Macaca mulatta: one gene and its partners. The protein of the gene in region 1 purifies or fractionates together with the protein of each later gene. This does not show direct contact. Links are inferred from orthologs where the notes say so. Each region holds a gene or a part of one and is shown on either strand. Other genes may lie near its edges.

Region 1 (4,731 bases):
CTTTCAATGTCTGCCTAGAAGGAAATGAGTAATGATCTCTCAGAGTCCCACAGGTTACCCTTACTGTCTACAACTTACTCTTCTGTACGCCTAACACCATCGCACCAAACCAGGGCCTACTTTATTTTCCTAGCAGTAGCTCACAGGGGTATGGTGTGTTTGTGTATCTTTTCAGCACCTTCTTTTTCCTTTCAGTTATGCAGGGCAATTCTGCACAGACTTACAAACTGAAGAGTATAAAAGCATGTATCCTCTTACTGTAGTCTTAAAAAGCTCGTGGAATTATTCTAGGGACACAGAAGATTCTGTGGCACAGATTTAAGTAAAGAGCAAAATACTCACTGGAAAAATTAAATACTGGCTAGCTACCACGGAGATTTGACCCTAGCTGGCAAACATGGAACTCTGCAAATACTTGGAGCCATTAATTATGTATACTTGTTTTATTCATAATTTGTCATGTTCTGGGATACCAAAAGTAATAATGGCTGAACTTAACAAAATTTTTAACCTCATCTCAATATCCACTGATCCATCTCATTCAATGGTAATAGTCAATGTTTTCTAAAGGAACATAAAAACAAACATGCACACAATTGCACAGTTTTCATAAAGGTCTATTTCATTATTGGTGGGTAGCGCATTTAACAGTTAAATACATTTAAATAATGTATAGGTGACTGCAGGACTGCAGCATTGGTAACTAGATAACCAATTCAACTAGAAACCAGCTAACAAGGAACTGTCTAAATACTTAAAATACAGCTCTTGTTGAGATCATTCTTTGTTTTGATCATCTTCTTGGGGGAAAAAAAGCCTGCTGCTGGTCACAATGGAAATATATTAAGGCCAAATCTTCTGATATCCATTCCCAAAGGTATCTTTCAGCTGGATTAAGCCTCCAACTCCAGGGCGAGCCCAAGCTTGTGACCTCCAGCATTAATGCTCTTTCCGTCTACCAGAGCAGAGAGTGTAAGCTTCACACCTATTAAGACAAACACAAAAACAAAACACTGTGATGTACCTGGCACTTCACTCAGTCTGAGCCTTCTTTCACAGTCATCCCCAGAAGCCTGCCTGTCACTTCCTCAGCCTGTCAGCTGACCTACTAGTGCTGGCCACCAGAGGGCGCTTGGAAGTATCTGAGACACCAGAAGGACTGGGTTACCATTCTAGGTAAGGCACCAAGTCACAGAGAAATGTTTTAATAACAAGTTCAAAGTGCTCTAGAATATACAATAATGTTGAGTATACTATCCAGATGAAGAGAGACTAGAGACATAATCATAATTAGATCCTAGAAAGGGAAACCTACAATAAAGACACATTTGGGGACGGGGTAAATCTGAATATATATTTGGTATTACATTAATGTTAGTTTTCTTAGATGCGATAATGGTATTGTGCTTATAAAGAAAAATGTCTTACTCTTAGGATACACATGCTAGGAGCTGCCGTGTCTGTATGTCTGCAAAACATACAGTTTTTTAAAAAAAGTATGTGAAGTTTCAGAGACATAAATGCTGTAAATTTTAATAACTGGTCAACATAGGGTAAGGGTATATGATGTTCACTGTACCATTCTTCCAACTTTTCTTTAGGTTTCAAAATCGCCAAAATAAACTTTGGGAAGGAAAATCCCTATTTGGAGGGGGGAAAGTCCCCAGTACTTTAACCAGACTCCAAGATGAGTCATGTGCATTGTGAAGTTGGAGAAATGCTGCTCTAGACACAGCATGCTTCAAAATATTATATAAAGTCAACAAGACTATAGACAGAACCAAAGCAATGAGTGAACTTTTATCAACAAAATAAAAATTACTTTTATTTTAGAGAGAGAGAGAGAGAAAGAAAGAGAAAGGAAGGAAGGAACGGAGGGAGGGAAAGAAAGAAAGGAAAAGAAACAAAAAGAAAGGAAGGAAAGAAAGAGAGTTGTGGCAAAAGGTAAACATGTATTTATTGTACTCTTCTTTCAACTCTTCTGTGTGCTTGAAAGGTCTGAAAAATAAGCTGAAGAATGAAAACTAATTTTTTTAATATCAAAACAATCCTACTTTATCAAGAATACTTACCAGGCCTCAGAGTCTGAGTGTAGCCTACTCCAATTAAGCTAGAGTTGTTGACTTTTGCCTAAAATAAAATTCAAAAACAACTGTAAGAAAAATATTTCAGTAGGGACAAAGCCCCCTACATGTTTCCCCATCATGTAGTCGTGAAGTGTTCAGTTTTATTCACGAGACAATAAAATTCATTATGTATTAAGCCAAACAGAAATCAGGTACTACTTAATTCATATCCATTCAACTCAAAAATCAAATTGTCAGTAGGACACGATACTCCTGATAGCCACTGGAATGTATCCAAAGACCCCAAACTGTCCGTACAGCACAAGAGCCTAAGCACTCTCATAAAAATCATCTTTGTCGATTCTAGTCTAGCACAACAAAACCAGACCAAATGTGGTACAAATCAGGCTCACTAGAGGTGACACACAGCAGCCTTAAAGTGCAGGGTATCAAGTTTAAATTCATGACTTAGTTACACACATGTAAACTTTCCTACTTTCAGGACTCTTCCTAAAGAACCAAAACCATCAATGTTAAAAAAAAAAAAAAAATCTCCAAACAAGTAATTCCTCTGAAGAATCAGATCAAACAATCCTTTATCCTCACATTCTCACACCTCTCATGAATGCCAGTGCTGCTGAGTTCTGGCTGTATGTAACCACTGTGCTTGGGAGGAGGTCCCAGTGAGGTATCATGTACCAATCCAGGCCCCTGCCTTCCTTGCACAATCCTAACATTTCAGGACTTACAGACTTCAAGGGCTGGAAGGAACCCTGAAGAGTATGACATAGTAAGGAGTAGATTCCTTCTAGTTCCATTCTCTACCACCCCTAACACTATGAAGCCACACCAGAGGCCAGGAACACCTCCCTTCATTTCCAGGGCATAGGTTGCCTAGATACGCAACTTTGCTTTGCTTTCAGCATTATGAGGGCTACTGTATAAAGGTAACAAACAGCCTATGTGACCAAAACAGATCTCCAAATGATTTGATGTCTATAGTCTTATAATGTGTAACATCCAAAGAGCCCAATCCAGAGAAAGAAATGATGTAACTATACAGATACAAACCACATCCACAACACCTGTATTCACTTGGCACTACAGCCAAATATTCATGAGCTACCAATGACCATCTAAAAAAACAGGCCTGGTGCAGTGACTGACACCAGTAATCCCAGCACTTTGGGGGCCAAGGCGGGAGGATCACTTGAGCCCAGGAATTCAACAACAGTCTGAGCAACACAGTGAGACCCCTGTCTGTCTGTACAAAATTTTTCTAGCTTGGCATGATGGTGCACACCTACCCAACTATCGGGGAAGCGGGAGTGAGATGGAAGGATCTCTTAAGCCCGGGTGGCTGAGGGTACAGTGAGCTGTGGTTGCACTAGTGAACTCCAGCCTAGGCAACACAAAGCAAAAAAAAAGAAAAAAAAAAAGAAAAAGAAAAGAAAAAAAAAATACCTCATTAATGACCATCCTGTGCCCTACAAATAAGAGCCTCAGACAGCTGAACAGACATTCCTATTATTGGCCGGGCGCAATGGTTCACACCTGTAATCCCAGCACTTTGGGAGGCCAAGGCGGGCAGATCACAAGGTCAGGAGATCGAGACCATCCTCGCTAACACGGTGAAACCCTGTCTCTACTAAAAATAGAAAAAATTAGCCGGGGCGTGTACCCGGAAGGCAGAGGTTGCAGTGAGCTGAGATTGCGCCACTGCACTCTAGCCTCGGCGACAGAGTGGGACTCCCGTCTCAAAAAAAAAAAAAGAAGAAATTCCTACTATTGGCCAGACTCAGTGGCTCACGCCTGTAATCCCAGCACTTTGGGAGGATCACGAGGTCAGGAGTTCAAGACTAGCCTGGCCAAGATGGTGAAACCCCATCTCTACTAAAACTATAAAAATTAGCCAGGCACAGTGGCAGGTGCCTGTAATCCCAGCTACTCGGGGAGCTGAAGCAGGAGAATCGCTTGAATCCGGGTGGCAGAGGTTGCAGTGAGCAGAGATCGCACCACTGCACTCCAGCCAGGGCGACAAAGTGAGACTCTGTCTCAAAAAAAAAAAAAAAAAAGAAAAGAAAAAAAAAAAGAAATTCCTATTATTTAACAGTAGGAGTTAAACCATGAAACTGTGATAAGGAGTAGAAAAAATAAACTCAGTTTCTCCCTCTATACTCTCACAAGGCCTAGGGAGAATTTCCCACACATCAAGCAAACAATTCTGCAGCAGATTCCAGCTAGATGTTCTCTAATTCGATTCTGATACTATCTACCTGGAGAGAGAGCATTGGATCACACACAGGTTCAGCGCTCAGTTTCATAAAACTGCCCCGCCCTCATTTTCAATGCCAATTGAAAGTTCCAGGTTGTTTTGCCTGTTTCTTACAGACTGGTTATAAATCGGGGTTCCCACAAGTCCCTGGGGTTCAATTTCCCAGAGTGGCACAGAGAACTCAGGGAAACATTTACCAGTTATATAGGATATTTTAAAGGATGTAAATGAACAGCCAGATGAAGATATTTATGTATCTTTTCCTTTATAGGTGAGGTCTGGAAGGGTCCCAAGCACAGGAGCTTCCATCCCTGTGAAGCTGGGGTGCCCCATCCTCCCATAACATGAATGTATTATTGTTTACCTTCCTGAAGGCCCCCTGAACTCAGT
Region 2 (6,051 bases), on another chromosome or scaffold:
CTCTCCAGGAAAAAAAAAACCTGCCTACAGCTCTAAGTCCAACATCTGGTCAAATCTATCTCAGCTGTATTTGTTGAATTATATGAATGGGGAGTTAAATACTTTATCATGGGAAAAACTAAAATATTTGTGTCAAATGCCAGAGAGCAATGTGCATAAGACAACCGTCGTATTTGTGTGGTCTGTGTTTGCTGCATCTTTGTATACAAAAGCTAATGCCAAAGTAAGAGCAAAAATGTTATTAGCAAAGAACTCTTTGAAGACGTATTAAAAGCTAATCAAATAACCAAAATTTTTTGGCTTCACTTGGCAGTGGGGTCAGAAAACTGATTCAAAGCCACACTTTACTATAAAGCGTTGTTCTCTGATACAGGTTTTGTGAGCTTAGACACAGTTGGCATCAAAAAAAATACGAAAAAAAGGCCGGGCACGGTGGCTCAAGCCTGTAATCCCAGCACTTTGGGAGGCCGAGGCGGGTGGATCACGAGGTCAGGAGATCGAGACCATCCTGGCTAACATGGTGAAACCCCGTCTCTACTAAAAATACAAAAAACTAGCCGGGCGTGGTGGCGGGCGCCTGTAGTCCCAGCTACTCGGAGGCTGAGGCGGGAGAATGGCGTGAACCCGGGAGGTAGAGCTTGCAGTGAGCCGAGATCGCGCCACTGCACTCCAGCCTGGGTGACAGAGCGAGACTCCATCTCAAAACAAAAACAAAAACAAAAACAAAAACAAAAACGAAAAAAAAAATTGCCCCACGTGGTTGCTAACTACCTAGAAGGATATACTAATAAAACTATTTTTAGAGTATCTTCTACATTCCACCCTCTGTTTACTCATGCAGTTCTACCACAAATGCAAAATCCAAATCTTCTCTTGAAGCGAACCTAGAAAGTTTGTGGGAGATAGGGTAGCACAGCTTTTCTATGTAGAATGGTACTGAAACTATGGCCGACACAATATCAGTGCTACATTAAACTTTCTTGCCAGCTGAAGAAAAAAATCCAGTATGCCAAATGTCCAAATGTACCTTTGCTCAAAGACACTGCAGTGCAAGGTAATGGTAGTGACATGGACTACTTCTCGAGTGAACCAAAAAAATGCCACTAGAGTCGGCCGGACGCAGTGGCTCATGCCTGTAATCCCAGTACTTTGGGAGGCCAAGGCAGGCAGATCACCTGAGGTAGGGAGTTCGAGACCAGCCTGACCAACATGGAGAAACCCTGTCTCTATTAAAAATACAAAATTAGCCGGGCATGGTGGCACATGCCTGTAATCCCAGCCACTCGGGAGGCTGAGGCAGGAGAATGGCTTGAACCCGGGAGGCAGAGGTTGCAGTGAGCTGAGATCGCGCTATTGCACTCCAGCCTGGGCAACAAGAGAGAAACTCCGTGTCAAAAAATAAATAAAATAAAACAAATGCCACCAGAGCAAAAGGAGAAACAAGTAGAGTGTTGAAGGTTACTCTTTAAAAGATGTGATAAATTAGAAACTGTAATATTATCTTCTACACTCTCTGAAGAGCATACAAATGCTGTTGTTAAAATTAACAAAGCCTTAAAGTTAGCCAGAACACCATCCTTTGGATTACTACGGATTCATCAGCAGAAATGAGAAATAACTCTTTCCAAAAAGCCTCAAGTTCTACCACCAAATCATTCCACAATAGAATTTCTGGCCAAGATCATTCACCTTTTAAAAATTCCCTGAGGACAGGAACCATGCCTATCTCCCTGAGTCAACATCCCACAACGCCTGATACATTGCTGATACTCAATGGATACTCAAAATACTTCATGAATGAATAAAAAGGTGCCTATCATTACTCTCCTCTAAACTCAAACATTATATAAAGCTACAGTACTTATTACTCACTTAAATATTTTAGGCTGGGTAGCAAAGGTAAAAAAAAAAAAAAAAAAGACAAATTTGAATACAACAGGATTGTGAACGCTAAGCTTTAACTTAGCCAGTCCCTTCAGGAGAAGCACTCCTAACTCACCTTCCAGTTCTTAAATCCAAATCTGAACAAACCTTCCCAGGTTTGAAGAGAGAAACACACTAAGAGGAGACTTTATTAATCCATGGATGAGAAATCATGTGCCTCATCAGCTGCTTAAGTCACAAGAAAGAGACAAGAGCCTGTTCTTTAGGAAACCAAAGATGCAGTATTTTGAATAGGGAAGAACCAACTGGCTGGACAGCCATCAACTAAGGTTGTAAGAAAGGTTCGCTAGGCAGCTTTGCCAGGCCTACCTGCAAAATTTTTCAAACCTCAGTTAAGTACCCCGCCAGTATTCAAGAGCTCCTAATTCAACTACACTACAATATGTGTGATAAGTCGCAAACGGCATTTCTTATGGCTTTAAGAGAGAACTGATGCTACCAGAAAGACTTTCAAACGACATCAACAGAAAGAAAGGAGGTGGTGGAAGGCAGTGAGGTACAGATACCAGGTGGCAAAAGATAAACCACAAGCTTTAGGGGCACGTGAAAGCAGTATAACCTACAAATTGAATAAAGTGCTCTGGAGTCTGACTGCCTGGGCTTGCATCTTTGCTTCGTAACTTAGCTGTGTGACCTTGGTCAAATGGTTTAGCCTCTCTGTTCAATTTCCCACTGTGTTAAGTGGGCACAACAGTGGTACTTTAGAGGGTTGTTCAAAGAACTAAACATAATGATCTGTTAAAAGGTCTTGCCACGCTGCCTAGCATATAACAAACGCTCAAATATTTGCTGTCAGTATTCTCAATATTCCCCTTATGACCCATTAGGTATCAAGCGTAAAATGAATGCAGAAAGAGGCCCCCAACACGGTCCGAATGGAAACACAACTCTACATCCAACTACCATCTTTCCCCGACTAAGTTGAAAAACTTCTCTCAGGATTTACCGTAACATGCCTAGGACAAAAAGCTCCCTGTCTCCCAGCGCCAGAGGCGCCTCAATGTACACAAGTGTTGAGGCGATCCCAGCGCACGTGACCTGACTCACGCCTTGACTCAGTTGCCGTCAGGGAACCTCTCCCACTAACAGGGTCAGGCTGTTCAACTGAAGAGCCGGAAGGGAACGCGGCTCGGCCCCCAGCGCCTGTGACCCATGCCCGCCAGGTGGGCACGGCGGCGGGCGGCGTGGGCTCTGACACCCTCCTGCTCGCCACGCTAAATAACTCCACCGCCTAGCGCGTCCTGCCGCGGCGCAGGGCAGTCCAAGTCAATGAACCCTCTTGGGTCTCTGAGATCGACGCCAACAGTAAACAGAGCGTCCGAGACCGGCGGCCGGGGCCGGCAACCCGGCCAGAGGTCACGCCCGACGACCTCCGACCTCTCCAACCCGGGTGGGGTCCTGGCCTGCTTCGTGGGCCTGAGCGATGCCGAGTTTGCCCGCGAGGCCAGGGCTGGGCCTGGAGCCTGCCAGGAGGACAGGGAGGACGCGAGGCCCTGGCGACCGAGGAGTTGAGGAGGGGGATGGGGCCAGGCCGCCGGCCGGGCTGGGCCCGCTGCTTACCGCGGCCTCTGCGCTGGGGGCTCTGGGCCGGGCGCGTCGCGAGGGCTCCCGCCGAGGAGGAGACTCAACGGAGGACAGAAGAGGGGAGGTCCAAGTTCTGGTTCCAGGGAACTCTGCTGAGCTCTCCAAGCCGCCAACTCCGCCGCTGCCGCCGCCTCAGGCTTTATGGCCAAGACTCCAGGCCCGCTCCCACTTCCGCCACTGCCGCCGCCCCGAGCGGAAGTACCTGTCACGAGACGCTCGACGCCGGGGTGCGGAGGAGGAGCCCCGCCTCAACCTTGAGTCACGTTCCGGCTGCCTTGGGACAGAGCCTGGATCACGTGCTACAAACATGTCTGCTCCCAAACGGTTGTCCCCATCTTTGAGGCTTGTACAAGGAGCAGGACGGCGCCATGTTGGACCCACAGACAGATTCCCTCAGCCATCCCTCCTTGCTCCAGAATAAAGAATGCCACCGAAGAGAGGTCAAGGGGTAAACTGGCCATTCCAATTGTGTCCTTCTTCGGAAGGCATCATTTATCCTTACTTTAACTACCTAACCAAAAATTATTATCACCATTTTACAAATAAGGAACTGAGACCGAACATATCAGGTCACTTGGTCTAGCTCAACACAGAAACTGGTGGAGCAGGGTTTTGAACCAAGGTCTGTCTGATGCCAATGTGTGTTATCGTTCTAGTAGACTGCAAATGACTACAGCAATTGTGTGACTCAGTAATAGAGACAGGAGAAATAGACACTTTGGCAGAGGAGACAGCACGAGAAAATGGAAAATGAGCTAAAGCCTCTCTGAACTTAGTATTAAAGAAGATGTGATAAAGATGGACCTGGTAGAACTCTTCTTGTAAGCACAGAGCAGCCTCCCAAGCACCAGCCCCATCTGAACACATCAGGATCCACTCAGAACTTTTGTCTCCATCTTTAACAATGCCCTCTAATAGTCTTTTCTTATTTGGTTCATGCAAACTCCATTCTTTCAATTGTTCCATCCAAAAACCTTGCAATTGTTACAGTAAGTAAGTAGTTAGACCTGAGCAGGGCAGGAGTGGGGCCACTCCCCCACCAGCAATGTGAGGCAACCATGACGTGGTGGTCAGATTAAGCTATCTCTCTAAAATAATAATTGGTTGCAGTCAGAACCAGGGAAAGAGTCTCCCAATAGATAAAAACACCTAAAACTGGTGATCAGCAGCTTCCCATTGAGATCTCAGAAGTTGAGGGGTCTGGGGAAAAAAAAAAAAAAAAAAAAAAACCTCAAAATCTAGGCAAGCAGTCCCAACCCTGAGATGGCACAATGTCTGGGGTTTCCCCTACTTTTTCAGCTAAAATTGGCTCTTTCCGCAAAACCCTCGCTACCTATTCTCCTGTTTTCTCTATGTGTATTCTGAAATGGCCTTGCACACTGCAGGACCATCAGCTTCTGGGGTAAGTCTACTTTTCTCTGCTTTCACTTTGCATGTGCCCAGGAGTTCGAGACCAGCTTGGGCAACATAACAAGACTGTCTCTTCCAAGATAAATAAAAAAGAAAGGAGAAGGCACACATCTACATCAGACTTTTGCAGTTGTACTTCTCTCTACCTGGAAAGCTCTTCCTCCAGGTATCTGCTTGGCCACTCGCTCACTTTCCTCTGGTCTTGACTTTAAAGTGACCTTTTCAGTGAAATAGCCTTCCCTATTTAAAACTGAAGTCCCTCTCTCTGTCACCACAACATAAACACAAAAATTGCCATCTCCCTACGGCTTTTCTCCTTTTTTTTTTTCTTTTCTTTTCTTTTTTTCTTTTTTTGAGACAAGGTCTTGCTCTGTTGCCGGTGCTGGAGTGCAGTGGCATAATCAGGGCCTACTGCAGCCTTGAACTTCTGGGCTCAAGTGATCCTCCTGTCTCAGCCTCCTGAGTAGCCACAGGCATACACCACTATGGCTTGCTAATTTTTTTTTTTTTTTTTTTTTTTTTTTGTAAAGAGAAGGTCTTGAACTCCTGGTGTCAAGTAATCCTCCCGACTCAGCCTCCCAAAGTTTTTCCTCTTATATTACTCACTTATTTGCATATTTTCTGCCTTCCCCACTAGAATGGCAGGTCCATAAGGCAGCTATTTTTGTCTATCTCATTCACTGCGATATCCCTGATTCTTAAAACAGTGTTAGGGTACAGTAGGTGCTCAATGTGTAGAATTTACAAAGTATTCAGGGGAATGAAAACTGAGAATAGTTTCAAAGGCCAAGAGTTATGATAATTCCACCCCATTCGGTAGCCAATCAAAATGCTAGGTTTGAAGATAAAGTAGCAACTGGGAATGCAGTAGTCCTTATCCCCAGGTCTGGCAGGGCTGACTGCAGGATTTGAGCATCTGAGTCCTAGAACCAATCCACCGCAAATAGCAAGGGACAATTATACCAGAAAAGGCAGAGCACAAAAATAAAATGGGACATGTGGGCCCCAGCCTTCTAAGAAGCCTTCTGAGAAGGCTATTCAGATGCAAACATGGGCTATTTCCTATGGGAAAGAAAGGACGACTTAAAAGAAACCCATGAGCCAGAAGGATAG
Region 3 (6,274 bases), on another chromosome or scaffold:
GTTTGCCAATAACCCTTACCATAGCAGATCTTAAGCTACTAATGTAACATCACCGAATATGAAATTGGGAAGAGACATGCACAAAGTCAGTGGCTCCAGGACACCACAGCAGCACTTATAATCTGGTCTGTAATCTAAAGCTTTATATATATACTGTTTTGTATAGGTTTTTCTGGTGTATTATATGTTTGTTTGTTCACTGCAATAAATCAGCCATAGGAGTGGTGCAGTCCATTCATTTTAGAGCCTTCACAATATACATACAAGGCATTCATTGTGTACTCAATAAATACTTGGTAAGACCTGGAGAGGAGCAATGAGCAAAGCCAAAGGTGGGGGTAGTTAAAATGGGTATGTTCTCATTTAAGGTTGGTTAGCAAGAACAAACAGAACAATAAGGTAGCAGAATGTGATAGAAATAAAATCAGAATGGGAGCCAGGGGATATTGGCTATGTCCCAGGTCTGTACCTGTGTGATCCTTAGCAAGCCGATTCCCTTCTTGGCCCTTAAGTTTCCTCATCTGTAAAAATTAGAGGACTAGATTACCTGAATTCTAAGATATCTCTCTACTCTAATGCTCTGAAATGTCAGTTAAACTAAAAGGAAGGCAGCCCATAGTCCATTACATTGGTAACAATAATGACGATAATAAATTCATTTTCAAATCTGACCAGTCAACAGAGTTTAGGGCAGCAAAACTTTCTTTCAAGAAGAAACATTCTTGTAAGGTCATTCTATTCCTTTGAACTAATAATCATTCTGTAGAAAGATACAATATCCTAAAAGTTATATCTATTTTATTCTTTCAGGAGAAAAGAGGTGTGAAAACTCACCTTATATTTGCAGCATGTTCCAAGATATGTCCTAGCGTCCTTCGTCCAAAAAATATGCATTGCCTGTCTACTATGAGCTGAACACCAGTAAGTGGTAAGGATTGAGTAAAAACAAAACAGATCTAGTGTTTACCCTCATGAAACCCAGCATAGTGTGGGTAAATGGCCATTTAGTTCCTAATCATCTGTATCAGTGCTTTTTAACTTAAAGAGCATGAACTGCTCTGAGTAGCAGATACAAGTTATGGACCCTCTCTCTCAAAAATGGTACACAATCATAAAAATTTGAGAAGTTCACAGGACCTCTCAAACATGGAAGTGTCCAGTACCACAACTTAACAACCCTGATCTGTATCTACAACTACATCTACAAAATAACAAATTCGAGCTCATAAAAGCCTATATTATGTTTGCTATATTGTTTGCTAAGGGAGTATACCAAAGATTGCCAACAGAAACAAAAGTAAAGGTCCGTCATTTATAAGGTTAAGTTTTGATCATCTGAAATTTCACTTATGTAGAGAATCTTATTCCAAATATTCTGGATAAATAAGGGACGCCTAGATTATGCTTTTTTTTTTTTTTCCCCAGAGACAGGGTCTCACTCTGTTGCCCAGACTGGAGTGTGGTAGCATGACTGTATTATAGCCCAATGCAGCCTCAAACTTCTGGGCTCAAGTGATCTTCTTGCCTCAGCTTCCTGAGTAGCTGAGACCACGGGTTTGAGCCACCATGCCCAGCTGATTTGTAAAAGCTTTTCGGAGAGACAGGCTCTTGCTAAGTTAGCCAGGTTGGTCTCAAACTCCTGGTCTCAAGCAATCCTCCGGTATCAGCCTCCCAAAGTGCTGGGATGGCAGGCGTGAGCCACCACACTGGGCCTACATTTCTATTTGATCTATCATTCCTTTGGCTAAGGCTGCTTATTAAATCAGTCTTCTTTCTTGAAAAGCCATTTGCACATGAAGATGTACTTGCATTTCAGAACTAAATCTGCATTTCATGACTCTTTCATTTCAGATTGAGACCCAATTAGTCATGACAAATTCATACACGCACAGCCCCTGAATGAACAGTTTGAACAACAGCAAAAAGCACAAAAATTCCAGAATTAGAGGGTACCGACTCCTATCCTGGCTCTAACATTTGCTGGCAAAGTGATCCTGGACAAGTCATCTCTAACCTATGTTTCTTCACTTATAAAGTGTGGGAGGAGTAAGACTCACCTGAGAGGGCTGCTATGAGAAATCCATCCAACAAAATAATGTATATGAAAGTGTTTAGCTAGGAAGTGGGTGAAAGGCAGTAGGTTGTTCTGGAGTTGCTCACAAAGCATCAGATATTCGTGGAAGATCATATGGAGAGAGCTGCTCATATAACATCCTTAGTGTGCTATTAAACATTTTATATCTGAAGTAAAATAACTTGTTCTTAAACCACTCAAGGAATTCTGCTTTGGTTAAGTGGTCAATAGTGAAGTTTTCACATATCAGAAGTTTGCAGAGAGGCTTTGGAATTTTCAAGATGCATAAATATACTATCAAAGCAAGAAGGTGAACTACTTACAATACACTCAGTATTAGTTCCAAGATGTCAAAGTTCTTTTCCTGCAGTCCATTTTAACTTTTTTACAGAGCAACGATCCTTTCACTTGCCTTGTTGAAAAGCTTTATAATGGTTAATATGATGTACAGAAGATATTTTAGGTGAATTAGTTCAACAAAACTGACAAAATCAATAAAATCAATCATAGTACTGAGGATTTTAGTGGAGAAAGTGTTTGCTTTTAAAGGAAGCAAATATAATAATACTCCTTAGTTTGAGACATGTTTTCCAGTCCATTCTCCACTGGAACATCAGATAAGCTGTGTAAAGGATAACCTTGGGGTGGGGAGGGTTATATACCAAACTTGTGAAACTATGCAACATTCACTTTTTTTTTTGCATTATTTCATTTACATTTACAATATACATTTATATTATTTGAATAGCCAAGTTTGGGGCTATTTTTCCTTTAAAAATTGAATTAACAACTTTTTAATAATGTAGCGCCATTGAACAAAAGATCTCTGGTACCTAGAAAAGAGGCAAAATGCAAGCCCTCTGATTTCTCAACCCCTACTATGCCAAGGCTCTGCTGGTCCTCCCAAGAGTTTTCATTACCTAAGTCCAAAACAGTCATCACACAAATGTCTACCACCAAAACAAACTGCAGATCCTTCAATTACACACTTTCCTCCAAGAAATTCGAATCAATTAATTGTATAAGTGTTTAAAAGTAATGTATCCTCCATTTTAAGAAAATAATTATTATTAATCTGTAAGACCTAAATCCTTGGCCTAATCAGACATTTAATGAGTGGGGAAACTTCAGACTGGAGGTTTTCTGGGATAAACTCCAGAGAGGAAGGGGCAGGGAAGAGGGAAGACTCAAGTAGAGCAACAGATAGGGGTGGTTAGGGTGGAAAGCTGAATGAATGGGTAAAAGGGAAGTCTAGGGATAGTAGGTGTTTCACAGACTGAGCTCAGGGGAGTCTGAGGACTGGGGTGGGGAGAAGGGTAGGCACGTGGGCAGTTAAATTGGTGGGAGCTGAGTGGATGGAGATGAGGGTAACTCACGGGCAGTCTCCAATGTCTATCAGTAGCTGCTCACCTAGTTCTCTCCCACACTGACACTAAGGAGGCAGGATTCCGAGCAACCGAGAAAGTGCGTCATGGAATGGAGCCACTCTGGGGCCTAGGAAGGCTTCAGGATTCCCCCACCCGCAGCGGCCGGGCCAGCTGCCCTACCTCCCATAGCCCGACCGGCGTCTCACCCGCTGCCAGGAGCAGACCGCGGAGGGTCCCCATGGCCACCTACTACTCCGCCGACCAGCGCAGAACTTCGCCGGGGACGGCGGCGCTAGTGAGCTCAATGTCACCCAGTGCTGGAGAGGGAAGGACGCAGGCGGCGCAGGGGGTGGGGCGTGCGCGACGCTGTGGACCGGCATGCGCCAGTGCGGGGCGTGCAGGACGTGCGCGACGCGCTGGAGACCGGCGGCGCCAGCCTAGTGCCCCTGGCGCCGCGTTCCGAGCCAGTTTTGGAAATGGTCTTGTGGAGTGTGGCGCCGTGGGTTCTTGCCCTAGCGGATATGCATCCATGGAAGGACCTGTGTGAAATAGAAGGGAAAAGTGCAACTTTCGTGAGCTGTAAACGCCCGAAATACACCAGATAAACCAGTATTCCAGTATGCCGCTCTTCCAGTGTTTTCAATGAACATACGCTTTTATCAGAAAACACGTAATTAGACTCAGTGCTCAGTGACCTTTTGGCTTTGGAGCATCCCTCAGGCAAATCTGAGAAATTAACGTGTATGTTTTCAATTTGTTTTCTATTTACCTATTTTCTAAAAACATTTGATCATCTCCATCCTAAACACCTTACTCATACCCACCCACTCTGCCAGAAATGCCGTTTTTTCTTTGACGTTTCTTAGTGGTCCCAAATTCTGAACAAAGACCCTTCTGCTCCAGGGTCGAGGGAGGAAGATAGGCACTGGAGTGAGAGGTATTAGGCCTCACTTGCCTAGATTTCTTTCAACGACCTGGTAGGGGAACGACAAGGAAATTGTTTCCCTTTTGTGAAGATGAGATTGGAGTAAACAGCCCCTTCAAGTTCTGACAATCTTTGATCCATGCATCTGGCCCAGTTCCAGGAGGGCATGTTAAAGGGGTTAGGACAGCAGGGTGACAGGTTTCGAGGTGGATGCGGACCACGTAGAAGTCAAGTCTTGCACTCAGCTTTCCTAAGGATTCCCCTCATGCTATATTTTTTGTCAGGCGGCTCCGCGGTCACCTTTGCTCCGCGGTGATTGGCCTGCAGCGGGGTCCTCGTGTTTGTCCAATATGGCGGCGCCCAGTGGCGGTGTGAACTGTGAGGAGTTCGCCGAGTTCCAGGTGATGGGGTTTTCCTCATGTGGCAGGCATGTCCCTCCTTTTGTCCCCAGACCCTATTCCCTGCTTTGCGAGGGAGTATGAACCAGCTTTGGAAAAAGCGGGCAATTCAAAGCTCTTTTGTAGAGCCATTGGAGGTCATGGGGGGCATGGGTTTGGCCTTAGGGAGCAAGGCTGCTCTGTAGGAGGAGGGAGGAGGGGGATCATAGTTCTCTCCGCGGCTCACAGGCCTTGAGTGGGAAGCTCTGGGTAATCCGCGGTGGTAAAGCTCGGGATCCGTGGATAAGAATTGTAACAATCTTGTAGCAGTTCCCTGAACTCAGTTTCCAGCTTCTGCCATTCGTCTCGTACTTTTCTAAGTAGAGTTTTTGTGGGAGAGAAAAAAGTGAAGTAGAGTTATTTAGTTGATAAAACAAACACTTGGTACAATTTACTATTTTTGTGGGACAGAACGTATGGAAGCTTGGAGGGAGGATTAATTCTAGTACCTGCTCTAGTGTCATTGCCCATTAGAAAAGATGTTATATTTAAAGGTTCTGCCTTTTTATGTTCAAATATCAGAGATCTAGGGCTAATTATTAACCCGTGAATTAAAGAATAGGGATCTGGTTTTGACCAAGTTGCCATTAAAGTTATCTGTTCCAATTCAGTCATAAGTGTGCTTCTGTTTAGTTACAAAGTTGAATTCCAAAATCATGATCTTAAGTATGTATTGCATTAACTAACCCAAGATACTGAAAAATTGACCTATCTGTAGTAAGCTTTGTACTTTGAACGGTTTGAAGGTAGTGGTATTCTTGAATACTGCCTCAGCCTCCCTGTAGCAAGGACTACAGGCACGTGTCACCACGCCCGGGTAATTTTTTAAAAGAAATTTTGTAAGACAGTGTCTCACCAAATAATGTTCCTGCCTCATCCTCCCAAAGTGTTGGGATTACCGGCATGAGGCACCACGCCCGGCCTAAAGTGTTTTAAATTTTTGCAATTCTTATATTTTCATTACAAAAATTAGATTTAGTACATCTGGAAAATATCCTATTTCCAAATTGAAATAAAATCCAGAAAAGAGTGTTTAAAATCGAGTGCCTAGAATCCCATTTTAGCACGCATTCAAGAATTTATTGGATACTGTATTAGTCTGCTAGGGCTGCCATAACAAAATACCACAAACTAGGTGGCTTAAACAGTAGAGATTTATTTTTTCACAGTTCTGGAGACTAGAAGTCCAAGATTAAGCTGCCATCAGTTTCTAGGCTACACAGTTTGATTTAAGGGGGGAAAAGTGCCATCACAATTAGTTATAGTAAGGCCTCTCTTCCTGGCTTGTAAATGGCTGCTTTCTCACCATGTCTTCTCTATGTCACTATCTCTTCTCTGTGCCTGCACATGGAAGGAGAAGGATCTCTGGTATCTCTTCCTCTTCTTTTTTTTTTTTTTTTTTGAGACAGTCTCGCTGTGTGCCCCAGGCTGGAGTGCAGTGGCACGATCTTGGCTCACTCCAACCTCCACC

The links. The genes of interacting proteins can lie anywhere in the genome.
Region 2: the proteins of VDAC2 (region 1) and RAB7A purify together in Homo sapiens (affinity purification with mass spectrometry; 3 studies listed by BioGRID and IntAct, with this or other methods). This does not show direct contact. The link is inferred for Macaca mulatta from reciprocal best matches to the Homo sapiens genes VDAC2 and RAB7A.
Region 3: the proteins of VDAC2 (region 1) and FAM162A fractionate together in Homo sapiens (co-fractionation; 3 studies listed by BioGRID and IntAct, with this or other methods). This does not show direct contact. The link is inferred for Macaca mulatta from reciprocal best matches to the Homo sapiens genes VDAC2 and FAM162A.

Annotation. Positions count from the first base shown.
Region 1 is NC_133414.1:74,375,339-74,380,069, forward strand, and holds the end of VDAC2 (non-selective voltage-gated ion channel VDAC2), read right to left. Parts: intron 2,269-4,731; exon of another isoform or gene 2,131-2,268; coding exon 2,073-2,130; exon of another isoform or gene 1,105-2,072; coding exon of another isoform or gene 1,060-1,104; intron 986-1,059; coding exon 894-985; 3' UTR 501-893; downstream 1-500. UniProt on the Homo sapiens protein: Non-selective voltage-gated ion channel that mediates the transport of anions and cations through the mitochondrion outer membrane and plasma membrane.
Region 2 is NC_133407.1:155,227,318-155,233,368, forward strand, and holds the start of RAB7A (ras-related protein Rab-7a), read right to left. Parts: upstream 3,682-6,051; 5' UTR 3,505-3,681; intron 1-3,504.
Region 3 is NC_133407.1:161,379,633-161,385,906, forward strand, and holds the start of FAM162A (protein FAM162A), read right to left. Parts: upstream 3,682-6,274; coding exon 3,648-3,681; exon of another isoform or gene 3,629-3,647; coding exon of another isoform or gene 3,622-3,628; intron 522-3,621; coding exon of another isoform or gene 470-521; intron 1-469. Other genes in the region: protein MIX23, read left to right, coding at 4,717-4,767. UniProt on the Homo sapiens protein: Proposed to be involved in regulation of apoptosis; the exact mechanism may differ between cell types/tissues.